Anolis sagrei: one gene and its partners. The protein of the gene in region 3 interacts with the protein of the main gene of each other region in a pairwise test. Links are inferred from orthologs where the notes say so. Each region holds a gene or a part of one and is shown on either strand. Other genes may lie near its edges. The genes, in order: heat shock transcription factor, Y-linked-like; TOX4; TBX6; CXH1orf94.

Evidence for each region.
Region 1: the proteins of TBX6 (region 3) and heat shock transcription factor, Y-linked-like interact in binary tests that used the Homo sapiens proteins (3 or more experiments, as listed by UniProt). The link is inferred for Anolis sagrei from reciprocal best matches to the Homo sapiens genes TBX6 and HSFY1.
Region 2: the proteins of TBX6 (region 3) and TOX4 interact in binary tests that used the Homo sapiens proteins (3 or more experiments, as listed by UniProt). The link is inferred for Anolis sagrei from reciprocal best matches to the Homo sapiens genes TBX6 and TOX4.
Region 4: the proteins of TBX6 (region 3) and CXH1orf94 interact in binary tests that used the Homo sapiens proteins (3 or more experiments, as listed by UniProt). The link is inferred for Anolis sagrei from reciprocal best matches to the Homo sapiens genes TBX6 and C1orf94.

Annotation. Positions count from the first base shown.
Region 1 is NC_090030.1:36,551,575-36,559,222, forward strand, and holds the start of heat shock transcription factor, Y-linked-like, read right to left. Parts: upstream 3,010-7,648; 5' UTR 2,762-3,009; coding exon 2,213-2,761; intron 1-2,212. Other genes in the region: TMEM185A (transmembrane protein 185A), read right to left, coding at 5,724-5,968.
Region 2 is NC_090026.1:10,955,386-10,963,305, forward strand, and holds the start of TOX4 (TOX high mobility group box family member 4), read right to left. Parts: upstream 3,004-7,920; 5' UTR 2,859-3,003; coding exon 2,853-2,858; intron 1-2,852. Other genes in the region: RAB2B (ras-related protein Rab-2B), read left to right, coding at 3,609-3,654. UniProt on the Homo sapiens protein: Transcription factor that modulates cell fate reprogramming from the somatic state to the pluripotent and neuronal fate. In liver, controls the expression of hormone-regulated gluconeogenic genes such as G6PC1 and PCK1.
Region 3 is NC_090026.1:17,496,541-17,503,582, forward strand, and holds the start of TBX6 (T-box transcription factor TBX6), read right to left. Parts: upstream 3,012-7,042; coding exon 2,888-3,011; intron 784-2,887; coding exon 555-783; intron 1-554. UniProt on the Homo sapiens protein: T-box transcription factor that plays an essential role in the determination of the fate of axial stem cells: neural vs mesodermal. Acts in part by down-regulating, a specific enhancer (N1) of SOX2, to inhibit neural development.
Region 4 is NC_090034.1:68,093,632-68,101,411, reverse strand, and holds the start of CXH1orf94 (uncharacterized protein C1orf94 homolog), read right to left. Parts: upstream 3,003-7,780; coding exon 2,725-3,002; intron 1-2,724.

The DNA of each region.
Region 1 (7,648 bases), on a different chromosome or scaffold from region 3:
GAACTCAACAGGTTCCTGGACCATCTGAACAGCATCCACCCAAACATATGGTTCAGAGATGTGGATGACACCTTCACCATTTGGAGTCATGGAGAAGAAGAACTCAACAGGTTCCTGGACCATCTGAACAGCATCCACCCAAACATATGGTTCAGAGATGTGGATGACACCTTCACCATTTGGAGCCATGGAGAAGAAGAACTCAACAGGTTCCTGGACCATCTGAACAGCATCCACCCAAACATATGGTTCAGAGATGTGGATGACACCTTCACCATTTGGAGCCATGGAGAAGAAGAACTCAACAGGTTCCTGGACCATCTGAACAGCATCCACCCAAACATATGGTTCAGAGATGTGGATGACACCTTCACCATTTGGAGGCATGGAGGAGAAGAACTCAACAGGTTCCTGGACCATCTGAACAGCATCCACCCAAACATATGGTTCAGAGATGTGGATGACACCTTCACCATTTGGAGCCATGGAGAAGAAGAACTCAACAGGTTCCTGGACCATCTGAACAGCATCCACCCAAACATATGGTTCAGAGATGTGGATGACACCTTCACCATTTGGAGTCATGGAGAAGAAGAACTCAACAGGTTCCTGGACCATCTGAACAGCATCCACCCAAACATATGGTTCAGAGATGTGGATGACACCTTCACCATTTGGAGTCATGGAGAAGAAGAACTCAACAGGTTCCTGGACCATCTGAACAGCATCCACCCAAACATATGGTTCAGAGATGTGGATGACACCTTCACCATTTGGAGTCATGGAGAAGAAGAACTCAACAGGTTCCTGGACCATCTCAACAGCATCCACCCAAACATCCAGTTCACCATGGAAAAAGAAAATGGAGGAAGACGGCCTTTTCTAGATGTCCTAGTCATCCGCAAACCAGATCAACAATTGGGTCACACCGTTTACAGAAAACCCACACACACAGATAGAGATCTACACAAAAACTCCAACCATCACCCAAGTCAACAAAGAAGCCCCATTAAAGCCTTGGCAGATTCTGCCAAGAAGAATCTGTGAAGCCCACCTCCTCCAAGATGAACTGAACCACCTCAGATGGGCTCTCCAGGCCAAGCGAGACTCCACCTCAGACATCAGAAGAGCTGCAAGGCCACCGAGAAGAAGCCACGAGAGTCAAGACAGAGACCCACCCAGAGGGAAAGTGTTCCTGCCAGACATCAAGGGAACCACTGACCGCAGAGGGAAGCTGATGAGGAAACACAACCTACAAACCATCTCCAGACCCACCAAGAACATCCAACCAATGCTCCGTTCAGCAAAGGACAAGAGGGATCCTCTCACCTCTGCAGGAGTCTACCATGTACCATGCAGCTGTGGACAAGAAGTCTCCAGAGGGACCACCAAACGCAGCAGCATTGCCCAACATACACATCAAGGAACATGAAAAGCACTGCAGACTACGTCAACCAGAGAAGTCAGCCATAGCAGAGCACCTGAGGAACCAACCTGGACACAGCAGATTATTGGAGAACACAGAAATGCTGGAGCACACCAACAACCACCATGTCAGACTACACAGAGAAGCCATTGAAATCCACAAGCATGTGGACAATTTCAACAAAATCTGGCTCCCAGTATTAAAAAAAACTCTAAAATTAGAATAGCAAAACTACAGAGAGGAAACAAACAAGGACATCTAATCACCTCTCAAGAAAAGATTGCCCCAGGCACCGCCAGACCTTCAAATGCTAATCGAGGTGGTCAGTTGAAACATTCACCCCTAGCTCCAGCAGACAAGAGTCCTTTGTCCCACCCTGGTCACCATTCCACAGATATATAAATCCTTTTTCCTCGTTCCAACAGACCTCACTACCTCTGAGGATGCTTGCCATAGATGCAGGCGAAACGTCAGGAGAAAATGCCTCTAGAACATGGCCATATACAACCTACAACAACCCAGTGATTCCAGCCATGAAAGCCTTCGACATTGTTTGCAAATGCCGGCCTCGTTTTGGTGGAACAGGATGGATGGGGCTGTAGGCATGAAGGATCAGAACTTGTTGGATTGATTCGGGTTGTCTTCTACTCGGAGCGGAACCTCTTTGAGTGTCCTCTTCTGCCCTCGAAGGAGATGGAGATCTATATTTTGAGAGAGCGCGTGGACGTGCCCTTGGGGAACCCGAGGCGCCCGGGGTCCGTCCCCAAAGCCACGGCCAGACCTTACCTTGCTGAAGGCGTAGGCCGCCTTTTCTTCGGCCAAGAATTCCACAAGGGAGGCCGATCTCTGGAAGTTCTGCCTCATCTTGCTGAAGCCGTAGAGGTTGAGCTGTCGGATGAAGCTCTTCATGCAATCCGTTTCGAAAATGCGCAGGGGACCCTTCCTCTCCAGGACCTCTTTCTTGAAGAGCTCCTCGTCGATCACGACGCACGTCCCGTCCTCGTCCCACCACAGGGACTTGAAGTGCTCGCTCTCCACAATCTTCCAGAGCTTTTTGGGGAAGGTGAGGGAGAGGAAGTCGCTGTCCTCGAGAGAGCCGTCGTCGCAGAGGGAGAGCCGGGGTCTCTTTGGCCAGGGAGCGTCGCTCAGCGCTTGGAAGGCATTCTCCTCGATCATGGACCTCAAGGCCGAGTCGCCAGCCGCCGTCTTGTCGTGCAGCGGAGTCGAGGAAAGGGAGATGGCGGAGTGGATCCTGTCCTCTTCGGCTTGGCCAGGAGGAAGGTCCAGGTCCTGGTCGCCCTTGTCGCTCAGGTAGCTCTTCTCAGCTGCAGCCATGGGCGCTCTGAGTCCAGCCTTGCCAAGAAGGCAGCATCAGGCCTACTAAAAAGGAGGACAGCCTGCCAGGAGCTGGAGCTACAATCAAGAGTTCCAGAACGTCACAATCAGACCCATCCTGTGTCGGTGTGACATCACAAAACGAACTCTGGTTTCCTAGCAAATGAAGCCATAATGAGGGGAACATCACTGGGAACATCACTCGGCGCACCCTCACTCAACCAAGGAGGCTCTGAGGGTCAAGCATTGGCTTCTTCAAACAATGGTCCAGACCCATTGCATTTGAAATCGAACTCGAGGCATGAGGAAGTGACCAATCCTGCTCATGTTATTGGTTACGAAATGAGTCTTAATAATAGTAATAATAATAACACTTTATTTGTACCCCGCTACCATCTCCCCAAGGGACTCGGTGCGGCTTACATGAGGCCAATAATAATAATAATAACAACAACAACAACAACAACACTTTATTTGTACCCCGCTACCATCTCCCCAAGGGACTCGGTGCAGCTTACATGAGGCCAATAATAATAATAATAATAATAATAATAATAATAATAATAATAATCTTCATTTGTACCCCACTACCATCTCCCCAAGGGACTCGGTGCGGCTTACATGAGGCCAATAATAATAATAATAATAATAATAACAACAACAACAACAACAACACTTTATTTTACCATCTCCCCAAGGGACTCGGTGCGGCTTACATTAGGCCAATAATAATAATAATAATAATAATCTTTATTTGTACCCCGCTACCTTCTCCCCAAGGGACTTGGTGTGGCTTACATGAGGCCGTACCCGAATACAACAATACAAGCAATAACAACAGTACAAGCAATTAAAAATAAAATAAAAACATAGGCAATAAACATACAACATTACCAATAAGACAACATACAATTAAAACTGGGAAGGCCAAGTGTAAAATTAAAATTGGAAATAATGCTGGAACATGGGCGAAAAGGTGATAGTGGCGTTTGTGGAAGACATACGAGCAGATCTAAAAATGTAAAGTGCTTTGGAGGGACAAAGTGCTATGGGATCATTATTCCGGGAAGGCACACTGGAACATCCACATCTTCAAGTTCCTCCTTTCGACTTGGGGCATGCCTGATGTCCTTAGGAAGTGAGTTCCAGAGTCGAGGGGCCACCACCGAAAAGGCCCTATCCCTCATCCCCACCAATCACGCTTGCGATGGAGGTGGGATCGTAAGTAGAGCCTCTCCAGATGAACGAAGAGATACGTGTGGGTTCGTACACAGAGATGCAGTCGCGTAGGTAGGCGGGTCCCAAACCGTTCAGGGATTTGTAGGTGAGCACCTGCACCTTGAATTGGGTCCGGAAAATGAATGGCAGCCAATGGAGCTCCTTAAACAGGAGGGTTGACCGCTCCCTGTAAGGAGCACCAGTTAACAACCTGGCCACCTCCCACTGGACCAGTTGAAATTTCCAGTCCGTTTTCAAGGGCAGCCCCATGTAGAGTGCAAAGAAAGGGAAAGAAAGAAGGAGGGAAGGAAGGAGAAAAAACAAAAAGGAAGGAAAGGAGGAGGGAAGGAAGGAAGGGGAAAAAAAGAAAAGGAAGGAAAGAGAGAGGAAGGAAGGAAGGAAGGAAGGAAGGAAGGAAGGAAGGAAGGAAGGAAGGAAGGAAGGAAGGAAAGAAAGAAAGAAAGAAAGAAAGGAGGAGGGAAGGAAGGAGAGAAAGAAAAGAAAGCGGGAGGGAAGGTTGGCCACAGCAACCTGTGGCAGGTCCAGCTAGTGTGAGAAATAACATGGACACCCAACTTCAAAGCCTTTGAAGAGACCTTTTCATGGGCTCCCAGAGTTGTGGCACAACCTGTTTTCCTTCTTCACTTCAGTAAGTGCTGTGCCAATATATTGTAGATCCAAGCATGGCACAGTGTTTTGACTGAATTTGAACACTGTCATTTGGAACCCAAGGATGACAGGGAATGCATTTCCCATTTTCCTGCCAAACAGATAGATATTCCAACCAGCGAAACTCCATCATGAATTGTAAGTATATTCCCAATAAACGAAAGCATTGCAAGACGTACTCGGGAACAAAGAAGGGTCGGCTCATCAAGGATTCCAGGAGGATACTTTTTATTCAACAGCCAAAAGTGGGGGGATGAGAAACAGGTATTATTACCCAGGGTTTTGCACTTTAACAAAAGTGGGAAACCATCCCCTCCTCCTCCTTCCCCTCTCGACAATACAAAGAATGTGGCCGTTTACACAATAATTTACATACCTTTATCCAGGCAATTGGATCCCTTAAGAGGGGAGGAACTTCCAAGTCCTACCTGCGGACATGTTTCGAAGACGGCGCTCCTAGTTCCGTGCGAGGAGGACAAGGCAAGCATGCGGGTGGGACATCACATGGCTGTGCGACGCCAACAGAAACAGATGAACACAAAGCACGTCATTCACAATCGATGATGCACTTCACGCAGCCTTTTAAAAATACTTTTGCATATTTATACTGTACAGACTCTTAAAAATATATTACATTGCCAAAGGTTCATATAAATACTATACAGGCAAGCGTGAATCCAAGGTTCCCAAAGAGGAGCCCTCCTCGTCCGCCGAAATCCAGTCCAGAGTGACATGTGCATGAAGGCCACTGGTTTCAGCCGGTCTTGCCCACATGGAACTGTGGACACAGATGAGAAGAAAGGAAACGGTGACATGGGACAAAAGTTCCACCAATTCTGATCAGGACCTTGACACGCCTGAGCCTGAGCTTACATGTCGCCTTCTCATTGATTTTCCTGCCATGGTAACAGAAATGACCTGAAGACAAATCTCCGTGATCTCCACGTTACAAGCCACTGAGGCACACACCACGATTCATAACAAAAGAAAGGCATGAGATAAAAACGCGCTGGCCGCTGGTTCCCGGTCGTTTCCACAACGGGAAGAGTCCACGCAGGCGCCTCCGAGGGGACACTTAGTCGGGCATGTCGATGTTGAGCTTGGGAGGCGGGATGACGTACTTCCCAGGACTCTGCGTAATAACCACCCCCGTCTTTTTCCGAAACATCGGAGCGATTTTGGGAGGTTCGGGGATGGGCGTCTCTTCCGCCTCGTCGTTGTCTTCGTGGTGCAGGTCGTAGGAAATGTTGCCGTACTCTCGGAGGAAGGGGAAGATTTCCAGGAGGAATTGGCAGAAGTCCTTGCGGATTCCAAACCACCCTGCGCCGCGTTTCCAAAACAAGAAAAAGGGGGAGGTCATTGAGAGTGTCAATCCACAGAAAAAAGTGGCCAACCCCACAATGCCTTGCAACCCCACATAGGGAAAAAACACGTCCAATTGTCTCCTGCATGTGTCACCAGTTGGGGACCCCCCCCCCCATCACCACCATCTTGTCTCTTGTGCTATGCTAATCTATATATATATAAATGTTCTGTGCATAATGAGTTCCCTAAAAACAAAAGAACCAATAAACAAAATCCCACCAAATTTGGCAACAAAACGTCTCACAACACAAGGAGTGACCATCACTCAAAAAATTAGGATTTTGTCATTTGGGAGTTGTAGTTGCTGGGATTTATAGTTCACCTATAATCAAAGAGCATTCTGGACTCCACCAACAATGGAATGGAACCAAACTTGGGACACAGGACTCCCATGACCAACAGAAAATACTGGAAAGGTTCGGAGGGCATTGACCTTGAGTTTGGGCATTGTATCACCTATCTCCAGTGAGCACTGTGGACTCAAACAATGATGGATCTGGACCAAACTTAGCACTAATACTCAATATGCCCAAAAATAAACACAGATGGAGTTTGGGGGAAATAAACCTTGACATTTGGGAGTTGTAGTTGCTGGGATTTATAGTTCACCTATAATCAAAGAGCATTCTGGACTCTACCAACGATGGAATTGAACCAAATTTGGCACACAGAACTCCCATGACCAACAGAAAACACTAGAAGGGTTTGGTAGGCATTGACCTTGAGTTTTGGAGTTGTAGTTCACCTACATCTAGAGAGCACTGTGGACTCAAACAATGATGGATCTGGACCAAACTTGGCACGAATACTCAATATGCCCAAATATAAACACAGATGGAGTTTGGGGGAAATAGACCTTGACATTTGGGAGTTGTAGTTGTAGTTGGGATTTATAGTTCACCTACAATCACAGGTCATTCTGAACCCGCCAGACGATAGAATTGGGCCAAACCTCCCACACAGAACCCCCATGACCACCAGAGTGGGCCACAGCAACACGTGGCAGGGGATGGCTAGTAATCTATATAAATAAAACTGTAATGTTCATTTGTGGGATTAACAGAACTCAAAAACCACTGGACGAATTGACACCAAATTTGGACACAAGACACCTAACAACCCAATGTATGTCCTTCACTCATAAAAACACTGAAAAAAAACAGCAGAAGGGACTTAAAAAGCCCCAAAAAGCTAAATGACGAAAAGCTAAATGACAATACAAAAAAAGGGAAGAAAGAGGGAGGGAAGGGGAGGAAAAAACAAAGAAAGAAAGAAAAGAAAGAGGGAGGGAAGGAACGAATGAAGGAAAGGGAGAAGGAAGAAAGGAGAGAAAGAGGGAAGGAAAGAAAAAAGGGAAAGAAGGAAGGAAAGAGGGAGCGAAGGAAGGGGGAAGATGTAGGGAAAGAGGGAGGGAAAGAAAGAAGGAAAGGGAGGAGGAAGCATGGAAGCAGAGAGAAGGAAGGAAAGAGGTAGAGAAGGAAGAAAGAAGAGAAAGAGGGAGGGAAAGAAGAAGGAGGAAGGAAGGAAAGAGATAGAGAAGGAAGGAGAGAAGGAAAGAAAAAAGGGAAAGAAGGAAGGAAAGAGGGAGCGAAGGAAGGGGGAAGATGTAGAGAAAGAGGGGGGAAGTAAAGAAGT
Region 2 (7,920 bases), about 6.5 Mb from region 3:
AATTTGCCTGTGCATGCTCTATCTGTACTGAGCCCCATTGGATTTTGTGTTCTGTGTTCTGGTTCTCCAAAGTACCTTATTATGTATAGATATAAATTCCCCAGGTGGCACAGTGGGTTAAACCGCTGAGCTGCTGAACTTGCTTACCAAAAGGTTGCAGGTTTAAATCTGGGGAGTGGCAAGAGTTCCCGCTGTTAGGCCCAGCTTCTGCCAACCCAGCAGATCAAAACCATGCAAATATGAGTAGATCAATTAGTACCGCTCTTGCGGAAAGGTAGAGCTTTTTCAATCTATTCTCCAATGTTGTGGAACTCATTGCCTCCATATGTTAGAGCAATGTCGGAGTTGGGACCTTTTGTAAAAGCACCCAAGACTTGGCTGTTTGGTTGTGCATTTAAGTAATCAGATCAAATTTGCCAAATAGTCACTGCTAAAGGTTTTTATGTTGAATGTTTTATATTGTGAAATGCTATTTTAAATTGTAAGTCGCTTGGAGCACCTTGGTGGAGAGCGACTAATTAAGAAATAAAATGAAGTGAAGCAAAGAAGTGAAGTAACGGCGATCCATGCAGTCATGCTGGCCACATGACCTTGGAGGTGTCTACGGACAACACCAGCTGTTCGGCTAAAAATTGGAGATGAGCACCAACAACCAAGAGTCGGACACGACTAGACTTAAATGTCAAGGGAAACCTTTACCTTTACCATATGAACCTGTTTCCAAGGAAGATGAGAAGTAATCAAGATGAAGTGAGGAACTCGGATCCCTACATGGCAGGGGAAAACCTTTACCTTATGAATTCCCAAGTCCATAAGATATGTATGTATGCATATTTACGATTTATCGATCTATGAAATTCCAAATACTTCTGGTCCCATGCATTCATTCAGACAGGGCGAATCCAGTGGGGAGGAATAAAGGTTGACTATCCCTTGTCAAGGCCTTTGACTGTGTGGATCATAATAAATTGTGGCAAGCTCTTGGTGGGATGGGCATCCCAAGCCACCTTGTCTCTCTCCTGAGGAATCTGTACAAGGACCAAGTAGCAACAGTAAGAACTGACCACGGAACAACAGACTGGTTCAAGATTGGGAAAGGCGTACGGCAAGGCTGCATACTCTCACCCAACCTATTGAACTTGTATGCAGAACACATCATGCGAGGATGTGCGGGGCTTGATGAATGCAAAGCTGGGGTGAAAATTGCTGGAAGAAACATTAACAACCTCAGATATGCAGATGACACCACTCTGATGGCCAAAAGCGAGGAGGAGCTGAGGAGCCTTCTAATCAAGGTGAAAGAAGAAAGTGCAAAAGCTGGGTTGCAGCTAAACATCAAAAAAACCAAGATTATGGCAGCAAGAATGATTGACAACTGGAAAATAGAGGGAGAAAATGTGGAGGCCGTGACAGACTTTGTATTTCTAGGTGCAAATATTACTGCAGATGCAGACTGTGGCCAGGAAATCAGAAGACGCTTACTTCTTGGGAGGAGAGCAATGTCCAGTCTCGATAAAATAGTAAAGAGTAGAGACATCACACTGGCAACAAAGATCCGCCTAGTCAAAGCCATGGTATTCCCTGTAGAAACCTACGGATGTGAGAGCTGGACCTTAGGGAAGGCTGAGCGAAGGAAGATAGATGCTTTAGAGCTGTGGTGCTGGAGGAAAGTTCTGAGAGTGCCTTGGACTGCGAGAAGATCCAACCAGTCCATCCTCCAGGAAATAAAGCCCGACTGCTCATTGGAGGAAAGGATACTAGAGACAAAGTTGAAGTACTTTGGCCACATCATGAGGAGACAGCAAAGCCTAGAGAAGACAATTATGCTGGGGAAAGTGGAAGGCAAAAGGAAGAGGGGCCAACCAAGGGCAAGATGGATGGATGGCATCCTTGAAGTGACTGGACTGACCTTGAAGGAGCTGGGGGTGGTGACAGCCGACAGGGAGCTCTGGCGTGGGCTGGTCCAGGAGGTCACGAAGAGTCGGAGACGACTGAACGAATGAACAACAACATCCCTTGTCTGAAATGTTAGGGACCAGAAGTAAATTCCAAATACATCCTTGTAGATTTCAATGGCTTCTCTGTGTAGTCTGACATGGTGGTTGTTGGAGTGGTCCAGCATTTCTGTGTTCTCAAATAATATGCTGTGTCCAGGCTGGTTCATCAGGTGCTCTGCTATGGCTGATTTCTCTGGTTGAAATAGTCTGCAGTGCCTTCCATGTTCCTTGATTCCAGCAGAGAAGAGCTCTTTGCCCCACCCCAGTCATTCCACAGATATATTAACCCATTTTCCTAATTCCAACAGACCTCACTATCTCTGAGGATGCTTGCCATAGACGCAGGCGAAACATCAGGAGAAAATGCCTCTAGAACATGGCCATATAGCCCGGAAAAACCCACAATAACCTAAAGATGAAAAGTAATCAAGATGAACTGAGGAATCCTGATCCCTTACATGTCGGGGGAAAGCCTTATGAATTCCCAAGTCCGTAAGATATGTATGTATGCATATTTACGATTTATCGATCTATGAAATTCCAAATACTTCTGGTCCCATGCATTCATTCAGACAGGGCGAATCCAGTGGGGAGGAATAAAGGTTGACTATCCCTTGTCTGAAATGTTAGGGACTAGAAGTAAATTCCAAATACATTTCAGACAAGGGATAGTCAACCTGTATTCGTCCTCACTGGATTCGCCCTGTCTGAATGAATGGATGAATGCGTGGGGCTTCCACCCATGCTGGTTTCAAGGAAGAGGAGTCCATAGGAGTGCATAGGTGGAGGCAGTAACGAGACAGACACTCAAACGGCCCCTGGGAGGCCCTCTCCCCTTCCCCGAGGCCCCCTCACCTCCATGGCCGCGGCGAAGGAAGCTCCAGAGCAGGGAGAGCGGGGAGACCCCGCTCGACTCTCTCTCCCCCTCCTCCTCCCCCTCCAGTGCCTCTCCCGGAAACGGAAGCCTCTTCCGCCTCTTCCGCCCACCCAAACGAAGGCCGGCAGGGAACGTCACTTCCGCCCGACGTTTTGCACACGGCCCTTTCCTGTGGCGGCCTTAACTCTTCCTTCCCTGCGGTGAGAGGAGGGAGGCCGTGTTTCCCTGCGGGAGTCGCGGCCTCGCTCTGCCTTCCTCACTCGTTCGGACCGTTAAGGCGACTGAGGGAGAAAGGGAGGCCGGAGGGCCGCGCGCGCTGCCATTCTCAGGCAGGAGAGCGCTTTCGGCATTTCCCGGATGTGACGTCAAAGAGTCTAAGTAACGGCTTCGAGGCTGGAGCTCGGCGTTCCCTTTCCCCTCTCCCCCCGGATGTGACGCAATAGAGCAGCCAGTCCGAAGAAGACCAAAGGAGTGGGCGGAGTCAACACAAGGAGGAATAGAGGCGGCCCAGAAGAGATGCCCTAGAGTGCCGCCGGAAGTCCACCAGGGGCTGCCGTCATGAAGGAGAAGGCACCGGAAAGGGAAGAAGCCAAGCGCCGGGAAGGAAGAGGGCGGGTCAGAGCCACGGCTTTGAAATAGGAAGCGCGAGAGGAGTAGGCAGAGTTCCCGTGGCGTGAGCGAAAGCGGCCCGTGGAGGCCCCCTCCCGCCTCGTTCTCAGGGGCTCCCGGCAGCCATGGCCTACGCCTACCTGTTCAAATACATCGTCATCGGGGACTCGGGTATGGGAGGGGCGGAGGGCCTGCTTAAGCGGCTGAGGGGGGAAAGGAAAGGGCCCGAGGCTGTTAGGAATGGTGGGAGTTGAAGTCCAAAACACCCCAAGGGCCCAAGGTAATAGTATGATAGCTGGGTCCGGAAGCTCCGAGCATTACGTATCGGGAGTGCTGTTTGCACAAGAGAGACTTACCTAATGTAAGCCATGCCGGAGACAAATATAGAAGGGATGTAAGAGTTCTTTAATGGTGAAACCCTTACTCTGAACCATACAGTAAGCCTAACCTGTTACCCAAACCTTAACCTGTATCCTGAGCCTAACACCTTACCCTAACCTGTACCCTAAGCCTAACTCTAAACTTTACCCTAACCTGTACCCTAAGCCTAACCCCTTACCTAAACCCTAAACTTTACCCTAACCTGTACCCTAAGCCTAACCCCTTACCCAAACCCTAAACTTTACCCTAACCTGTACCCTAAGCCTAACCCCTTACCCTAAGCCTGACCTTACGAAAACCCAATCCCTAAACCATACCCTAACTAACCCAAACCATTACCCTAAGCGTCCCCTTCTTTCTATCCTTCCTTCGCTCTCCCCACCCCCCTTCCTTTATTCACAACCACCTTTGCGACATCTCCGTAACGCTCGGTGCTTCCGGACCCAGCTATCATACTACCACCAGTTCTTTAATGGTGAAACCCTAACCCAGAACCATACAGTAAACCTAATCCCTTATCCAAACCCTTTCCTTAGCCTAAACCTTACCCTAACATGAAACCAAACACAAAACCGTACCCTAATCATAATCCCAAACCAGCATTGCAGCATTCTCTCTCCACCCCCCCCCCCCCTTCCCTTATTCACAATCGCCTTTGCTGCATCTCCGTAACGCTCGGAGCTTCCGGACCCAGCTATCATACCATCACCTGTTCTTTAATGGTGAAACCCTAACCCTGAACCGTATGGTAAGCCTAAGCCTAATCCCTTACCCAAAGCCTTACCATAGCCTAAACCTAACCCAAACCCTAAACCGTACCCTAATCATAACCCTAAATCTTGCCCTAACCCTTACACTAAGCATCCCCTCCTTTCTATCCTTACTTTGCATTCCCCGCTCTCACTCCGCCTCCTCTCTTCCCTTATTCACAGCCCTCTTTGCAGCATCTCCATAACGCTTGGAGCTTCCAGACCCAGCTATCATACTATCACCAGTTCTTTAATGGTGAAACCCTAACCATACCATAAGCCTAAGCCTAACCCCTTACTCAAACCCTTACCCTAACCCTAAACCTTACCCTAACCGTAACCCAAACCCTAAATCTTTCCCTAACCCTTACACTAAACGTCCCCTCCTTTCCATCCTTCCTTTGCTCTCCCCGCTCTCACTCTGCCCCCTCTCTTCCCTTATTCACAGCTGCCTTTGCAGGAGCTCAGAGCTTCCAGACCCAGCTATCATAATATCACAGGGCCCAAGTTGACCCATGCCTGTTTTAGAAGGATTTGGCCTTCGCAAGTTTTTTTTTTAAATGCTTCATCACAAAGTTCATATCTCCCCCCCCCCCCCCCACACACACACACACACTGCTTCAACTTTTTTATTTTCTGATATTTAGTTACAGTAAACCAGGCCTGCATAGCCTGTGGCCTTTCGGCTGTTTTGGACTTCAGTAGAAATAATACTTGATTTATCACCCGCCTTATCTCTCCTGGGGGACTCAGGGTGGTTTCTAATAAAAGAGGCAAACGTTCAGTGCCAACAGAGAATCAGAATCACAGAGTTGGAAGAGACCTCCTGGGACATCCAGTCCAGCCCCTTGCCAAAAAGCAGGACAGTCACGTTCAAAGCACTCCCAACCCATCCAGCCTCTGTTTAAAATCCTCCAAAGATGGAGCTTCCACCACACTTTGGGGTAGAGATTTCCACTGCTGAACAGCTCTCACAGTTAGTTTCCTGTAGTTTGAAGCCATTGCTCCACGTCCTAGTCTTCAGGGCAGCAGAAAAAAAGCTTTCTCCCTCCTCCCTATGACTTCCCCTCACATATTTATACATGGCTATCTCCTCTCAGTCTTCTCTTCTTCAGGCTAAAACATGCCTAGCTCTTTAAGCCACTCCTCATAGGGCTTGTTCTCCAGACCCTTGATCATTTTAGTCGCCCTTCTCTGGACACATTCCAGCTTGTCAATATCTCTCTTCAATTGTGGTGCCCAGAATTAGACACAGTATTTGAGATGTGGTCTAACCAAGGCAGAATAGAGGGGTAGCATGACTTCCCTGGATCTAGTCACTATGCTCCTATTGATGCAGGCCAAAATCTCATTGGCTTTTTTTGCCGCCGCATGACGTTGTTGGCTCATGTTTAACTTGCTGTCCATGAGGACTCCAAGATCTTTTTCAACAACACACAAACAGATAAACAAAAGAATCGCAATATAAAACTTATAATAGCTAATCCAAACGAACAAACATTATCAAAATTAAATGACTTAAATAAACTAAATATGATACCTCATAAACATTTACCACATATGTCGAAGGCTTTCATGGCTGGAATCACTGGGTTGCTGTGAGTTTTCCTGGCTCTATGGCCATATTCCAGAAGCATTCTTTCCTGACATTTCGCTCACATCTATGGCAGGCATCCTCAGAGGTTGTTGAGTTTCCAGCAGACCTCAGAACCTCTGAGGATGCCTTCCATAGATGTGGGTGAAACATCAGGAGAGAATGCTTCTGGAACATGGCCATAGTACAGCCCAGAAAACACAGAAACCCATCTTCACATAATTAAACTAGCAGCTAAAAAGCATTTAAATATGAATTGACTTTCGACAACCAACAGGACTGTATGATTCCAGTATGTAGACCAGGATATGTATAAATGTGCACTTCACCTCCCAGAATTCCTGATCATTGGACACTCTGGGCTTCTAAGAGGTGGAGTCCCAAATGCCTGAAGAGCCCTAGAATCATAGAATCAAAGAGTTGGAAGAGACCTCATGGGCCATCCAGTCCAACCCCATTCTGCCAAGAAGCAGGAATATTGCATTCAAATCACCCCTGACAGATGGCCATCCAGCCTCTGTTTAAAAACTTCCAAAGAAGGAGCCTCCACCACACTCCAAGGCAGAGAGTTCCACTGCTGAACGGCTCTCACAGTCAGGAAGTTCTTCCTCATGTTCAGATGGAATCTCCTCTTGGTTGTGCAGGCCTGCAGTAAACTTTTTACTTCCATATATCAGAGAGGAAATAATAAGAAAGAGGTTGAAGTTTTCTGTTCAAAGCACCTTTTCACTCATAAGAAACATTCAAACATCTGTTCAAAAGCACAAAAAGAAATCGCACTGTTCACAATTAATCAAACCCAAAATGTAATATATGAGCAGTTAACAGAATCAGAATGTAAAGAGACCCCAAGGGTCACCCAGTCTACACCTATTCTGCCAGGTGGGAAACACCATCAAAGCCCTCTTGACAAATGGCCATCTACCTCCAGAGAAGGTGACTCCACCACACTCTCAGGCAGCAGGATATTCCACTGCCAAACAGCTCTTCCTGCCAGGAAGTTCTTCCTAAGGTTTAGGTGGGATCTCTTTTCCTGTAATTTGAAGCCATTGCTCCATTGTGTCCTAGTTTATAGACCAGCAGAAAACAAACCTGCCCTGAGGAGAGGGGAGATGTCACCTCTTTTCAAGGTGACCTACTTTCAGATGTTTAAACATGGCTGTCGTGTTTCCTCTTGGCCTTCTTTCCTCCCAAGTTAAACATGCTTAGCTTCCAAACTTTTGGACACTTTGGTTCTTCAGGTTATAATCTTTCTGCCTATATTACGGTTTGTGTGGGTCTAAGTGGTGGACTCAATCAAATTTGCTCCTGATTTGAGCATTTACATGTTAATGTGAAAATCCATATAAAGATGTGGCTTCATTCTGCCCTTTAAAAAAATCCACTCACAATATTGAGATATTGGGACAGTTCTAACACTCCTTGCTATTTTCTACATTGGCTAAAAATGCTGATAATCATAGTTCAACAACATCATAGAATAATAGAGTTGGAGAAGACCACATGGGCCATCTAGTCCAACCCCCCTTCCATGCAGGAAAAACAATCAAAGTATCCCTGACAGATGGCCATCCAGCCCCTGTTGAAAGCTGGTGGCAGAAGTCCACTCTTGCTTTAAACCACTGGTGTCAAACCTGTGGCCCTCCATGTGTTTTGGACCTCAACTCCCTCAATTCCTGATCATTGGATAAGCTGGCCAGAGCTTCTGGGAGT
Region 3 (7,042 bases):
GTTTCTGTACAAATGGCATATGTTGAGTTGTTGAATATTAAAGATGTGTAGATTATTTTGTCCCCACAACAGCTTGTGGAGGAAGGAAATATTATATTGTTATGTTCTCTTTGCCTGTTTCACTGCAGATATTTACTAAAATGTTGGAAATAAAGCTTTAAAAAAGGTGTAAGTTAAATTTCCCTATCTTCTAGGTCAGTGGTTCTCAACCTGTGGGTTTCTAGGTGTTTTGGCTTACAACTTCCAGAAATCCCAGCCAGATTACCAGCTGTTATGATATCTGGGAGTTGAAGCGTAAAACATCTGGGGACACGCACAGGCTGAGAACTGCTGTTCTAGGGATATGTTTCAGGTCTTTTTAATGTTTCTATTCTTAAATTTTTGCTCAGAGTTGTGCCTCATTTTCCTCAAATGAATTGGAGGGGTGAAAATACATTCTTCATAAATTCAGAAGCTTTGGCTTCAAATACTTCTGATACATGGCATTGAGGAGGGGTTCCAGAGGACAGGTTAAGATCAGTAATTTTCATTCTTATTGCTGCTTGGCATCTCACCTGCCTGCTTTGGTGATGATCATCTCTGTGCCAATGCTACTGAAACGTTTCCAAAGCTCACCATTCTCCAAGCTCATCCGTATTCCAGGGGGTAAACATGGTGTTGGTGGGGGACCAGATGGGAGAGCCTGGCCTGACCCATAAGGGTGGGCAGGACCTGGAGGCAAGAGGCGGCCTGGAGGTTCCAAGGCAGGGAAGAAGCTATCCAACTTCGGGGCAGCATCAAGATCTGAAGGCAAGGAAGAGAACACAATAAGTCAGACAAACAGTGAATGGCATTGAGAGGTATTGGCTGAGTAGTAAGGAACAGAGGAAGGAGGAGGGTTACAGACAGCACCACGGAGTATCATCTAGGAATTTGTCACCCTCCTGCTGTTTTTCTCCTGTTTTCTCTTCCTCTATCCTATTCGCCTGACCAGTTGGCCTTGGGTGCTAAAACTCCAGCTGATGGGGGCATGTGGGTGGTGGTCCTTAGCGAAGCAAGCAATGGAATTTATGTGAATTCTACATTTTACCCTTTTGCTATCCAAGTCCTGGCCTCCCACTAGCTTGTGGAAACCAGTGGTTGTTTCTCTCCCAAGGATACTACTGTATTCTCATCTATCCTTTTGGTCAACTCTCTATTTGGATTTTCTCTAGCCTTTTCAAATGTGCATTTCATACCCCCCACCCACTCCTCAATTTAAATCACCCCTGGCTATCAACCAGCCCATCCTATCCAACCCTCTCTGACAATCCTGCAGTCTTGACTTCCAGGACTCTTTTTTAACCCCACTACCCTCCTGACAAATTGTGGGAGTTGAAGTCTAAAACACCTGGAAGTCTGAAGTTTTCCTATGACTGTACAGACCTCATCACACTAGAGAAGGAATCCACTTTAAATCTGGTTTCTGCCTCTTGCAGAATTCTGGGGTTTGTAGTTTCGTCAGGCTGTTAAAGGCTCCTCACTAAACTACAAACCACAGAATTCTGCAAGAGGCAGAAACCAAATTTAAAGTGGTTTCATTCTCTAGTGTGATGAAGTAGTAAAAGTACAGAACTCCAGTCCTTAGGGCTACAAAGATAGGCCACAGTAATGGGGGATATATGTTTAGAAGATTTCTACTAATCCAGATATTGAGATGTAGCAGACAGCATAGATTCCTTGCCTTTTCTGATGACTGATGAAAGTAAATCCCTAAATCCATTGGTTAACCTTGGCCGACGTACACGCAATGCATCCATTGTTAATGGGCAAATCGGCATTTCATAAAGTGAATCTGTCCTGGTTGGATTTCGGCCAAAACAAATTCTACATAATTGTGGGAGTTGAAGTCTCAAACACCTGGAGGTCTGAAGTTTGCCCATGCCTGTATTAAAAGGACAGAACTCCAGTCCTTAGGGCTACAAAGGTAGACTGCAGCAATGAGGAATATATGTTTAGAAAAACTTCTAATAATCCAGATATTGGGATGTAGCAATATGCTCTCTTGACAAATCTGCCCTCCTTTTTAACCCTGCTGCCCTCCTGACAAATTGTTGGAATTGAAGTCTCAAATGCCTGGAGGGCTGACGTTTGCTCATGCCTGTAGAGTTGGAGTTTGTAGTCCACACCATTACTTTTATGTAGTAGACAACATTCCTTTCCCCTTTCACGTACAAATACCTTAGAAGTTTTGGATTATATTCCATCCTGTAAGAAAGTGATGATTATTTCCACTTCTTAATGCCTCAATATAAAAAAGCCCATTCTGGATTCTAAGAAATTCCAGAAGTTACAGTTCTCAATTTTCTCATTTCCAATAGCATAGGAATCTTAGATTTCATCCTTTTGTCCATTTTATTATGTAACAATTTTTATCTGATCCTGGGTTGCTGTGAGTTTTCCAGGCTGTATGGCCATGTTCCAGAAGCATTCTCTCCTGACGTTTCACACACATCTGTGGCAGGCATCCTCAGAGGTTGAGGGGTCTGTTGGAAACAAAGTAAGTGAGGTTTCCAGCATGTGGGTAAAACGTCAGGAGATAATGCTTCTGTTACATGGCCATACAGCCCGGAAAACTCACAACAACCCAGTGATTTCAGCTATGAAAGCCTTGGACAACACATTTATCTTATCCTTCTTGCAAAGAACTCAGGAAATCAGACATTGTCTTCCTGACACTCCATTTGCTTTCACAAATAAGTTAAACCAGACAACGTAATAGTTATGTAGATGTCATTGAGGCCAATCAATGGTGAAAATATCCATTAAAATACACATTTCTGCCTTCATTCCATTCACTCTGTCTCCCTTGTTCCTGTTCTTCATTTCCCTCCCGCTCTCCCACCACCACCACTTCCCAATTTCTCACCTGGGTATCTGAAGGCTTCATACTGGGGTGCCTGACTCTGAGGATACCCAGTCCCAGGAGGTGGGGGAGGCCGCAGAGGGTAAGAGCCTCCATACTGTGAGAACATCTCTGAGGGGTGATACATGGGATGCTGAAGGAAATCTGGGAGCCAGAACTCTTGGATTTTTTGGAGGGACTGGGGACCCTACTGGATTAGAACAGGTGAGGGAAGCAAGCTAAAACAGGAAGCTAGGACTTCTGCCTTCTGTGGCAAGGAGAAAGGTCTAAGGATTAGAAGAATGAGACTGATGGGCTCCTGGGGAATAATGGAATATGATTTTTGGAATAGGGATAGGGAAAGAAAGCCTGCTGGGTTAAGATCTGGGAGCTGGGTTTCCTTGGTCCTATCTTGTGAGCAAGTCTGGGATGCATCCACCTCGAGCTCCCCTCTCTTCCTGAGGAGCCCCTGACTGGGGCTGTATTTATGATTCCGCTAAAGCTCTTTGAAGTGAGACCCCAAATGGCACATTCGCACCTCTAGAGGGGAGGGGTTTGGGGCTGAAGGCAGGGGAGTTGGAGGAGATGAGTAGCATATATTCTCAGTCCCAGGATGTCCTATCCTTACTCACCTTCTAGCTATTTCTAGCAATATCCCTCTATTTCATCCAACTTCCGCCTATTTCACCCCTAGTCTGAGTGCCCTCACATAAGTAGTTGTCTTCAGTATCCAAGACATTGCATATCAGCCCAATCCAAATATGCCAGTCCTAGCCCACCCCCTCCCTATGCCAGGCTCCCCAACTCCATCTCAGACTTCATTAAGAGTGTCGGCCGAGTCTCTTTCTGTGCCCACCACTTGAATCCTCCTAATTGCCTAATTAACACCCTGATTCCAAAGTTTCCTGATTGATCCTGACCTATGGGATCCTTGGTTTTACAAGTGGGTGATGGGGGGAGGTGCCATGGTCATTTATCATCCAGATGTTTTCACAGCTGGGTAGGACAGCTGCAAGAGACTGCCAAATCCTGAGAGTGGAGATTGGGGCCTAGTGAGTTATAGCCACATTTGCAGTTGGGAAGATACCTGGTTCCCTTTAACCTCATAATACAACAATTTAAAATTCCAATTGGTCTAATTTAGTCCTATCAGGAGGTTATATTATCATATTCTTGGATAATTATTTTCAGCAGAATAGCAAGAAAGTACTATGATGCCAGCTATGGGAAGTGCAACCGTAGTCAAATTCAGCATGCCTTACATTGAATATCTCTATGCGAGGAATCAAATTGTGTAAAGTAGTGGCTTCATAATCAAAATAACAAAGAAAAATTGGTAGAAATCTACATTTTGATACTTCATGTGCTTTTAATGTTATCTCAGTGATACTAAGGGCTAGAAATGTGGTTTCTGCAAACAAAAAGTGAGGAATTTTGGACTAAGACCATGTCATTTTCACTTGTGCATGAATATTATATGTCCAGTGCTTTCAACCAGCATGATCAAGGGTCTGGAGAACAAGCCCCATGAGGAGCGGCTTAAAGAGCTGGGCATGTTTAGCCTGCAGAAGAGAAGGCTGAGATGAGACATGATGAGGACTATATATAAATATGTGAGGGGAAGTCATAGGGAGGAGGGAGCAAGCTTGTTTTCTGTTGCCCTGGAGACTAGGATGTGGAACAATGGCTTCAAACTACAGAAAAGAAGATACCACCTGAACATTAGGAAGAACATCCTAACAGTGAGAGCTGTTCAGCAGTGAAACTCTCTGCCCCAGAGTGTGGTGGAGACTCCTTCTTTGGAGGCTTTTAAACAGAGGCTGGATGGCCATCTGTCAGTGGTGCTTTGAATGCAATTTTCTTGCTTCTTGGTAGGGGGGTTGGACTGGATGGCCCACAAGGTCTCTTCCAACGCTATGATTCTGTTTCTATCTCTTATCACCAAAGGAATACCAGTTGTTAGTAATTAGGGAGTGGGCAACTGGTGGAAATAGCTTGTATGTACATACAGGCCCGTAGCTAGGATTTCATTTCGGGGGGGGCTAAAAAATTTTCAGGGGGGGTTTCGGGGGGGGGGGCTGAGTTTCGGGGGGGGCTGAGTCTGAGTGAAAGAGGGTCTAGCCTAGCAAACCTTTTGTATCATTACCCCAATACCCCCATACATATGGGATATATTGAGAATGGTGATCAAATCATGATATTAATAAACATAACAGTTTAAATAATGCACCAGTAAGGCCTTTTCGCGAACCACCGTGAGAATTTCGGGGGGGGCTGAAGCCCCCCGAGCCCCCCCCCTGGCTACATGCCTGTGTACATAGAGGTGTACACATTCGTCAGGCAATCAAAGAAAAACCTGTATATGTTGTCACAACTTGATGAGCAGTATAGAAGGAAAATTAGATATATAATTGGGAGCTAAAACAAGACCAAAATTTAATATTATTTAATTGTGTTGAACTACATGACATGGTCTACACTGACCATAATGCAGTCAAACTGCATCATGTGGCGTGTAGATATAGTCTCAATTAACTGTTCATCCATTTATCATTATTGTAAGGTATGTGCACGCCCCCTTGTGTTGCTTTAGAGGAATGCCCAGTAAAAGGAGAAATTTGGATTCTTAGGTTCAAGGATGAGCTTCCAACCCATAATCTTCACTTCTTATCTTTGGTATTCTTGCGGTGGGGTTAAAGGTATGCAGGAAGGTGGATACATTTATCTCCTTCCACTTAATTTCAATTTACTTATCGTGTCAGAAGTGAGTTGAAGGTACAGGTAAAATGCATTTGAAAACACAAACAAAATTATAAAGCACTTGGCATTATCCTAAATGTTTTTTGGTTAGAAGCTGACCACTTGGAGTTCCTCTGGTGTCGCTGTGAGAATGACCCCCATTGTGCATGCAGCAGGGCTTAGGTTGCATTATAGTAGGTGATCTGTGGTTTGCTCTTCTGCACACTCGCATGTCGTGGACTCCACTTTGTAGCCCAATTTCTTAAGGTTGACAGAGCGCAGCCTGCTCAGTGCCTTTTAGGTCACCCAGTCTTCTGTGTGCTTCGAGGGAGTTTCTCACCTGGTCTCAGCCACTGATTGAGGTGCTGGGTTTCAACCTGCCATTTTTGGACTCTCACTTGCTGAGGTGTTTCTGCAAGAGTCTCTGTAGATCTTAGGGTGCTGTTTCTTGATGTAAGGCATTGACGTGCTGGCTGATATCCAAACAGAGGATGGGCCAGAGATGTCAATGCCTTGGTCCTTTCATTGCTGGCGACTACTTCCCGGTGGATGTCAGGTGGTGCAATACCAGCTAAACAGTGTAATTTCTCCAGTGTTATGGGCCGTAGACATCCTGTGATGATGCAGAATGTCTCATTAAGAGCCACATCCACTGTTTTAACATGGTGAGATGTTTTCCACACTGAATTTAAATGAAGATGAAGTGTGGAAGAGGTCTTATATTACTTAGATCTATGTTAAAAATGCAGAGTAAATATATTTAGAGCATGTTGCCGGTGGCACAGTGGGTTAAAGCACTGAGCTGCTGAACTTGTTGATTGAAAGGTCGCAGGTTCAAATCTGGGGAGCAGCATGAGCTCCCGCTGTCAGCCCCAGCTTCTGTCAACTTAGCAGTTCGAAAACATGCAAATTTGAGTAGATCAATAAGGACTGGAACTCTGGTGGGAAGGTAACGGTGCTCCATGCAGTCATGCCGGCCACATGACCTTGGAGGTGTCTATGGACAATGCCAGCTCTTCGGCTTAGAAATGGAGATGAGCACCAACCCCCAGAGTTGGACACGACTGGATTTAATGTCCAGGGAAAACCTTTGCCTATGTTGTCAACACATTTTCCCATAATGCCTGTAAATTCCAATATCAGTGAAAGGGGTCCCATTTTCATTATTTCCCCTACTTATTTACATTAAAGGCAGATATGTATAGCTGTGAAGCAACTGGATGCCGGGATAGTTTTCTCTTTCTTCTTGGGGTGGAGGACGGGAGCAATCTCTGTTTGGGTTTCTTCCATGATTCTCTCTCTGTCCTCCATCCACTTCAAAATAACTCTCCTGTTGCTCTTGTTTTTTGTGCATTTGGGATGCAACAAAAATCAATCTTGGCCTAAGGCAAAGCCGTATGCATCTCTTAGGATAGGAAAGGTTTCTCTTCATGCATGATT
Region 4 (7,780 bases), on a different chromosome or scaffold from region 3:
CTAATCAAGGTGATCAGCTGAAACATTCACACCTAGCCCCAGCAGACAAAAGTCCTTTGTCTCACCCTGGTCATTCCACGGATATATAAACCCATTTTTCCTACTTCCAACAGACCTCACTACCTCTGAGGATGCTTGCCATAGATGCAGGCGAAACGTCAGGAGAAAGATTGCCTCCAGAACATGGCCATATAGTCCAGAAAAACCTACAACAACCCAGTGATTCCGGCCATGAAAGCCTTCGACAATACTAGGTGTGAATGTTGCTTGAGCGGTGATGGCACGATCATCAGCATAGATGAAACTCTGTCCCTTCTGGCAGTGGATGGTCATTTGTGTAGCTGTTGAACAAGAATTTTGACATTATGAAGGTTTTGGAACTGTGCGTTGACAGGCTGCAGGGAAGCAGGTCCTGGCCTAAGCAGCTGCTTCTCCAAGGAGGGAGAAAAGGATGTGATAATATTTGGATTCATGAGGATGGATGCATGTACATGTGGTGTGAATGTTGAGTAAAAATTTAATTCTTCTTTGCTTGTTAGCCAATATAACTGTAGGTTGTTTGTGAATTCAATGTAGTTGCGTAGAATCTGTATGTCCAATGTCATTCTTTGTGTAAAAGTATAAAAGTTCTGTAAAAGTTCTGATATATCCTCTCTCATACTGGAAATTACAATAAAAAGCTTTAAAGTTATTGAAAAGTTATTCATGACACACATACACACATCCTACAATACACACAGATTTGTGTGCTATACTTGATGCTACTCAAACCCATTATTTACATTTTCAGGGCTTACATTTTCAACTAGAATGCAAAACAGCACACATCTTGTATCAATATATCAATAAATAGATGTATTTAGTATTCTAGCCTTCAAGTTAATATTGTCATGGAATCTAGATGGATGAAGATGATCTTTTTTGATCAGAAGTGACTTGAAGGCAACCATTCTCCAACAGTAATTAAGTGGGATGGAGCCAGAGGAATGAGTTATCTTTAGGGTGAAAATATTTTTGATTAATTGATTGATTGATTGACCTATCTCCCAATATGTGGAGTCCGGACCACTAAAAAGAGGCAGTGGTCTCTCCTTTGCTGAAGAAACCAGATTTAGATCCCTCAGTTCCCTCCAGTTACCGCCCAGTTTCAAATCTCTCATTCCTGGGCAAGGTGATTGAGAGGGCAGCAGCGGAGCAGTTGCAGCAATTCCTAGGCGACACAGCCGGACTAGATCCCTTCCAATCCGGCTTCCGTGTGGGGCATGGGACAGAGACTATGCTGGTCTCCATCACGGATCACCTTCGATGCCAGCTTGACCAGGGCGGGTCAGCGCTGCTTGTGCTATTGGATCTCACAGCAGCATTTGACACAGTCGACCACAATCTCTTGACCCACCGCCTTGCTGTTGCTGGAATCAGGGGGACAGCTTTAAACTGGCTGTCCTCCTTTCTTCACAACCATGGACAGCGAGTGGAGAGGGGAGGCCTGGTCTCTGAGAGGTCCCCTCTATCTTGTGGGGTTCCTCAGGGGGGCATTCTCTCCCCTCTGTTGTTTAACATCTATATGCGACCACTTGCTCAGCTGGTTCGAGGTTTTGGGCTTGAGTGTTATCAGTATGCCGATGACACTCAGCTGGTGCTGAAGATGGAAGGCCGACCGAACTCTGTACCTGATTATTTCCATCAGTGCCTCGAGGCCGTTACTGGATGGCTGCGTGCCAGCAGGTTGAGGGTGAATCCAGCAAAGACGGAGATCCTATGGCTGGGTGGACCAGGCAGGGGGGACATCCATCTGCCCACCCTGGATGGCGAGGCGTTACGCCCGTCATCATTGGTAAAGAGTCTGGGAGTCCTTTTGGACCCTCTGCTGACAATGGAGGCCCAGGTATCCGCCGTGAGCAGAACTGCCTTCTTTCACCTGTGGCAGGCTAGGCGGCTGGCCCCCTACCTGTCCAGGGACGACCTAGCTACGGTGATCCAGGCCACAGTCATCTCAAGACTGGACTACTGTAATGCCCTCTACATTGGCCTCCCTCTGTCGGTGATTCGGAAGCTCAAGTTGGTACAAAACGCAGCTGCTCGGCTTCTTGCGGGAATTCCGATGAGATGCCACATAACACCAATCTTACTACAGCTGCATTGGTTACCAATTGAGCACTGGATCACTTTCAAAGTGATGGTACTCACCTTTAAGGCCTTGCATGGTCTGGGGCCAATGTATCTGAAGGATCGTCTCACCCCCTACCAACCCCAGAGATCCCTCCGTTCTGAGGACCAAGATCTATTGGAAGTCCCCAGTGTCAAGACCTTGCGTTTAAGGGCAACCAGACGCAGAGCCTTCACAGCAGTGGCACCATCACTCTGGAATGCTCTGCCACCCGAAGTTCGTGCCCTGCGGGACTTACCAGCTTTCCGCAGGGCATGTAAGACATACCTGTTCCGACAGGCTTTTAATGTTTGATACTGTTGTTTTTAAATTGTTTTAAATTGCTTTTAAACTTTGTTAGATTTTAGCTATTCTTGTAAGCCGCTCCGAGCCCCAGGGGAGTGGCGACATATAAGTTTAAATAATAAATAAATAAATAAATAAATAAAGGTTAAAGTAACGAAACTACAGCCTCTGCTTTCTTATGGATCCATCTTCTCCATTGCCAACCATTCAGGTATACTTTTTGCATGTTCAAAATACTCAAAAACAAACAAGATTAAAAGCATTGCACTCACTCCTTTTGGGAGCTGCTGCTGGTACTACTGTTATCCTCTTGGAGGGCCTCAGAAGATGGAATGGGGTGGCAGCTCACTTGGAGAAGTGGTGATGAGGACCTGGGTTGGAGTTCCTCCGGGAGACCTTGGACTCTTTTCCAGATCTCATGGCAAGCTTTATCCAAACTGTCCTGAGGCGTATTGTGATGGATCCAAATGTGTCTTGGGAAAGGGCCTAATGGAAAACTGCCCTTGGGGTTGGTTGTTGAACACTGAAGGCTGCTCCTACTTGACAGCATCGTATCTTGCCCACTAATGGCTAGAATGAAAATTGAATAAACAAACAGGAAGGGTGTCCACACACCTTCCTGAGATACTTATGTTGCTTGCCTTATTTTCTTTCTTTTTTTAAAAAAAGATGGTACAGAATGGAGCATATGGAAACAAACTCTGGTAGCTAAGTAACCATAGAACCCTTGCGACATGGTAACTTAACTGACATAAAGAATAAAAACTGTAATAGATCATCAAACTTCAACAGCAGTAGACGGAAGGGGAGACTTTGCTTGCTCTGAAGGACACTGAGGGAGAAAGATCTTGCTCTCCTTCCTCCAACTGGCATATCTGGAACACATCACCTGGAAAGATATTTTTTTTGTCATGTCAGGAGCGACTTGAGAAACTGCAAGTCACTTCTGGTGTGAAAGAATTGGCTGTCTGCAAGGACGTTGCCTAGGTGATGCCTGGAATTTTTTTAATGTTTTTTACCATCCTTGTGGGAGGCTTCTCTCATGTCCCCACATGAGGAGCTGGAGTTGACAGAGGGAGCTCATCCGCACTCTCCCCGGATTCGAACCTGCGGCCTGTTGGTCTTCAGTCCTGCCAGCACAGGGGTTTAACCCACTGTACCACCTAGGGCTCCTATACATGGAAAGGTGTTGCCATCAGAAGCATTTCTTTCTTTCTTTCTTTCTTTCTTTCTTTCTTTCTTTCTTTCTTTCTTGGCTCTTGTGTATATAAAAATACAGAGTTTTTAAGTCAAGAATATCCTATGCTCCAAAATCTATGATCAAAACCTGAAACCAAAGGACCGTCTCTGGTCTGGTTAGAAGAAGAGAAAGTTGGGTGGTGCCTCCAACATAGGGAGTTGGGTGTGCTTCACTTGGACAAGAGAAAATGGAGAGATGATAGGAAAGCAATCTTTAAGTATCCAATGGGATGTCATGTAGAAGATGGAGTGAGCTTGTTTTTCTGCCTCTTTGGTGCCTAGAACATGAACCAATACATTGAAAATAAAAGAAAGGAAGTTGAGAAACATTGAGAATGTCTTGATTGGAAGAGCTGTCTGATAGTGGAGATCCTAGGACACGGGGTGTTTCTGGCCTCACAACTCTGTATGTTTATACACACAAGAGTTAGCAAAAAGGAAAAGAATGTTTCTGATGGCAATGTGATGTGTTCCAGATGTATCAGCTTGAGAAAAGGAGGACAAGGTCTTTGTTGTTCAGCATTCTTGACAGTGGTAGACTCTCCATCTTTGGAGGTCTTAATACAGAGGTGGAATGGGCATCTTTGAGGAATGCTATAGTTGTCCATTTCTACCTCACAAAGGGTTGAACTACATCAACGTTTCTCAACCTGGGGGTTTGGGAACCAGGGAGGGGGATCGTGGGGGTGGGGGGTGAGAGGGGTCACTAAAGATCATCAGAAAACAAAGTATTTTCTGTTAGTCATGGAGATTCTGTGTGGGAAATTTGGCCCAGTTCTATCATTGGTGGGGTTCAGAATGTTCTTGGATTGAAGGTGAACTATAAATCTGAGCTACTAGGCCAGCTGCGCCCGTACCTTGGGAAATCTGACTTGGCCACGGTAGTCCATGCTCTGGTTACATCCCGTTTAGACTACTGCAACGCTCTCTACGTGGGATTGCCATTGAAGACGGCCCGGAAGCTTCAATTGGTCCAACGTGCGGCAGCCATGATACTAACAGGAGCAGGACGCAGGGAGCATACAACCCCCTTGTTGTACCAGCTCCACTGGCTGCCGATTTGCTACCGGGCTCAATTCAAGGTGCTGGCGTTGGCCTATAAAGCCCTAAATGGTTCCGGCCCAGGATACCTATCCGACCGCATCTTGACCTACGAGCCCACCAGGACTTTGAGATCTTCCGGGGAGGCCCTGCTCTCGATCCCGCCTGCTTCACAGGCACGGCTGGCGGGGACGAGAGATAGGGCCTTCTCGGTGGTGGCTCCTCGACTGTGGAACACCCTTCCCGTGGACATCAGACTGGCTCCTTCCCTGATGATATTCCGCAGGAAATTAAAGACTTGGTTGTTCAAAAAGGCATTCGAACAAGAAGTGCAATGATTGGTAATGACTATAGGATTGGAACAATGGAAATGATACTGGATTGTGGTTTGGACGATGAGACGACGCGGAATGGCTTTCGTAGTAATGATGATGTTTTTGATGATGATGTTCTTGTTTAATGCTGGATGTGGATTTTATATTATGTCTTGAATTTGAACTTTGTTCTTCTATGTTGTACACCGCTGTGAGTCGCCCCCGGGCTGAGAACAGCGGTATATAAGCAAAGTAAATGAATAAATAAATAAATAATACTACAAGTCCCAAATGTCAAAGTCTAGTTACACAAAATCCACCAGTGTTCAATTTGGGCATATTGAGTATCTGTGCAAATTTTGGTCCAGATCCAACATTGTTTGAGTCCACAGTGCTCTCTGGATGTAGTTCAGAATGCTCTTTGAGTGTAGGTGAACTATAAATCCCAGCAACTACAACTCCCAAATGTTGAGATCTATTTTCCCCAAACTCAACCAGTGTTAACATCTGGGCATATTGAGTATCCATGCCAAATTTGGTCCAGATCTATCATTTTCAAATCCATGGTGCATTCTGGATATAGGTGAACTACATCTCCCAAACTCAAGGTCACTGTCCGCCAAACCCTTCCAGTATTTTCTGCTGGTCATGGGAGTTCAGAGAGCCAAGGTTAGTTCAATTCCATTGTTGGTGGAGTTCAAATGCTCTTTGATTGTAGGTGAACTATAAATCCCAGCAATTACAACTCCCAAATGACAAAATCAATCCACTCCAATCCTACCAGTATTCAGATTTGGGTGTATTGGATATTTATTCCAAATTTGGTCCAGTGAATGAACATCTCATATCAGATATTTACAGTGCGATTCATAACAGTAGCAAAATTATAGTTATGAAGTCGCAACCAGAGGCGGCCCTAGGTAATTTTCAACAGTAAGCAAACAGTATTTTGGTGCTCTCCCCCCAGCCAATCATTGATATATATTTTCTGTTCGTCATGGGAGTTCTGTGTGCCATATTTGGTTCAATTCCATCATTGGTGGAGTTTAGAATGCTCTTTGGTTTTAGGTGAACTATCGAAAACATGCAAATGTGAGTAGATCAATAGATACCGCTCTGGCGGGAAGGTAACGGCGCTCCATGCAGTCATGCCTGCCACATGACCTTGGAGGTGTCTACGGACAACGCTGGCTCTTTGGCTTAGAAATGGAGATGAGCACCACACCCCAGAGTCAGACATGACTGGACTTAATGTCAGGGGACTACCTTTATCTTTACCTTTTTATACATCCCAGTAAGTAAAACTTCCTTATGTCAAGGTCTATTTTCTCCCAAGAGCGCCTCAAGAGCGCCCCCGGGCAAAATCAACTATACTGCGAATGCTTACTTTGCGTAATGGCTGAGCCGTCCCTGGTCGCAACGAAAATAATGTTATGGTTGGGCATCACCACAACATGAGGAACTGTATTAAGGGGTCACGGCATTAGGAAGGTTGAGAACCACTGAATAACATGGTCCTTGTGACCCCCTCCAGCTCAGAGATCCCATTTTATTGGAAACCTTCTCTTTTTCCTTTTTTTTATTTGCAGATGTAACAAGAGGTTTCTTTGCGTATCTTTCTCTGTGTGGCAATTTTTAAAAGCAGAGCATAACTGGAAAACAGTCTGCAAATAGAGAGGGAGGAGAAAAAAAGTTGTCTCTTTTTGCCCCTTGGTTTTCTTTCATTCTACTGTTGCCTCAGGTTAAATAGGTTGTGTGAGTGCTTAAATAATACAAAACCTCCTGAGGGGATCACGATGTTTAGTTAATCTGCGGCAGCAGAAATACGAAAATACGAGAGTAAACCCCAAGATCGAATAACCCTCTCAAGGCAGCAGCTTTTGTGGATGAAACGGCAAAGAGGGGAGGTGCTTGTTTGTTTGTTTGTTTGTATCGCTTTCTTTGGTGTCTTTTTTTTTTTGCCTGAGGATTGAATTAGCTCCAGGGGTCACAAGCCAGCATGAAGAGAAGGCACAGCTTGAAATGAGTTCAAACATACAATTTCTGATGTTAACATTTAGTTGCTTGCTGGGTCTCCAGTCACACAGTGATGCTTGATTCATGTGCAGCTCCCATTCACCTTCCTCTATAAAGCCCATCACTTCTGCCTTACCTTAACCATTGAGGAAACATCTCTTTTAATGGCTTAGATGAAGGCAACTTTTGAAATCTTTGCACAATATCTGTGCTGGCTTTGCCTTCTTCAACCCATTTCATATATGTTGCCCATTTGCTGTTTGAAGGAGGACAGACGATGGATGATGGGACTTGCAGTACCTTCAGTCACTTCCTGAAACCACAGTGACACTCATCCAAATACCAATAAAGACCAAACTTGGCACAGAGAGCCCCCATGACCAACTCAATATTCTGGTGAGGTTTGGGGGAGAACAGACTATGGATGATGGGACTTGCAGTACCTTCACTCACTTCCTGAAACCACAGCGACACTCATCCAAATACCAATAAAGACCAAACTTGGCACAGAGAGCCTCCATGACCAACTCAATATTCTGGTGAGGTCTGGGGGAGAACGGACTATGGATGATGGGACTTGCAGTACTTTCACTCACTTCCTGAAACCACAGCGACACTCATCCAAATACCAATAAAGACCAAACTTGGCACAGAGAGCCCCCATGGCCAACTCAATATTCTGGTGAGGTTTGGGGAAGAACAGACTATGGATGATGGG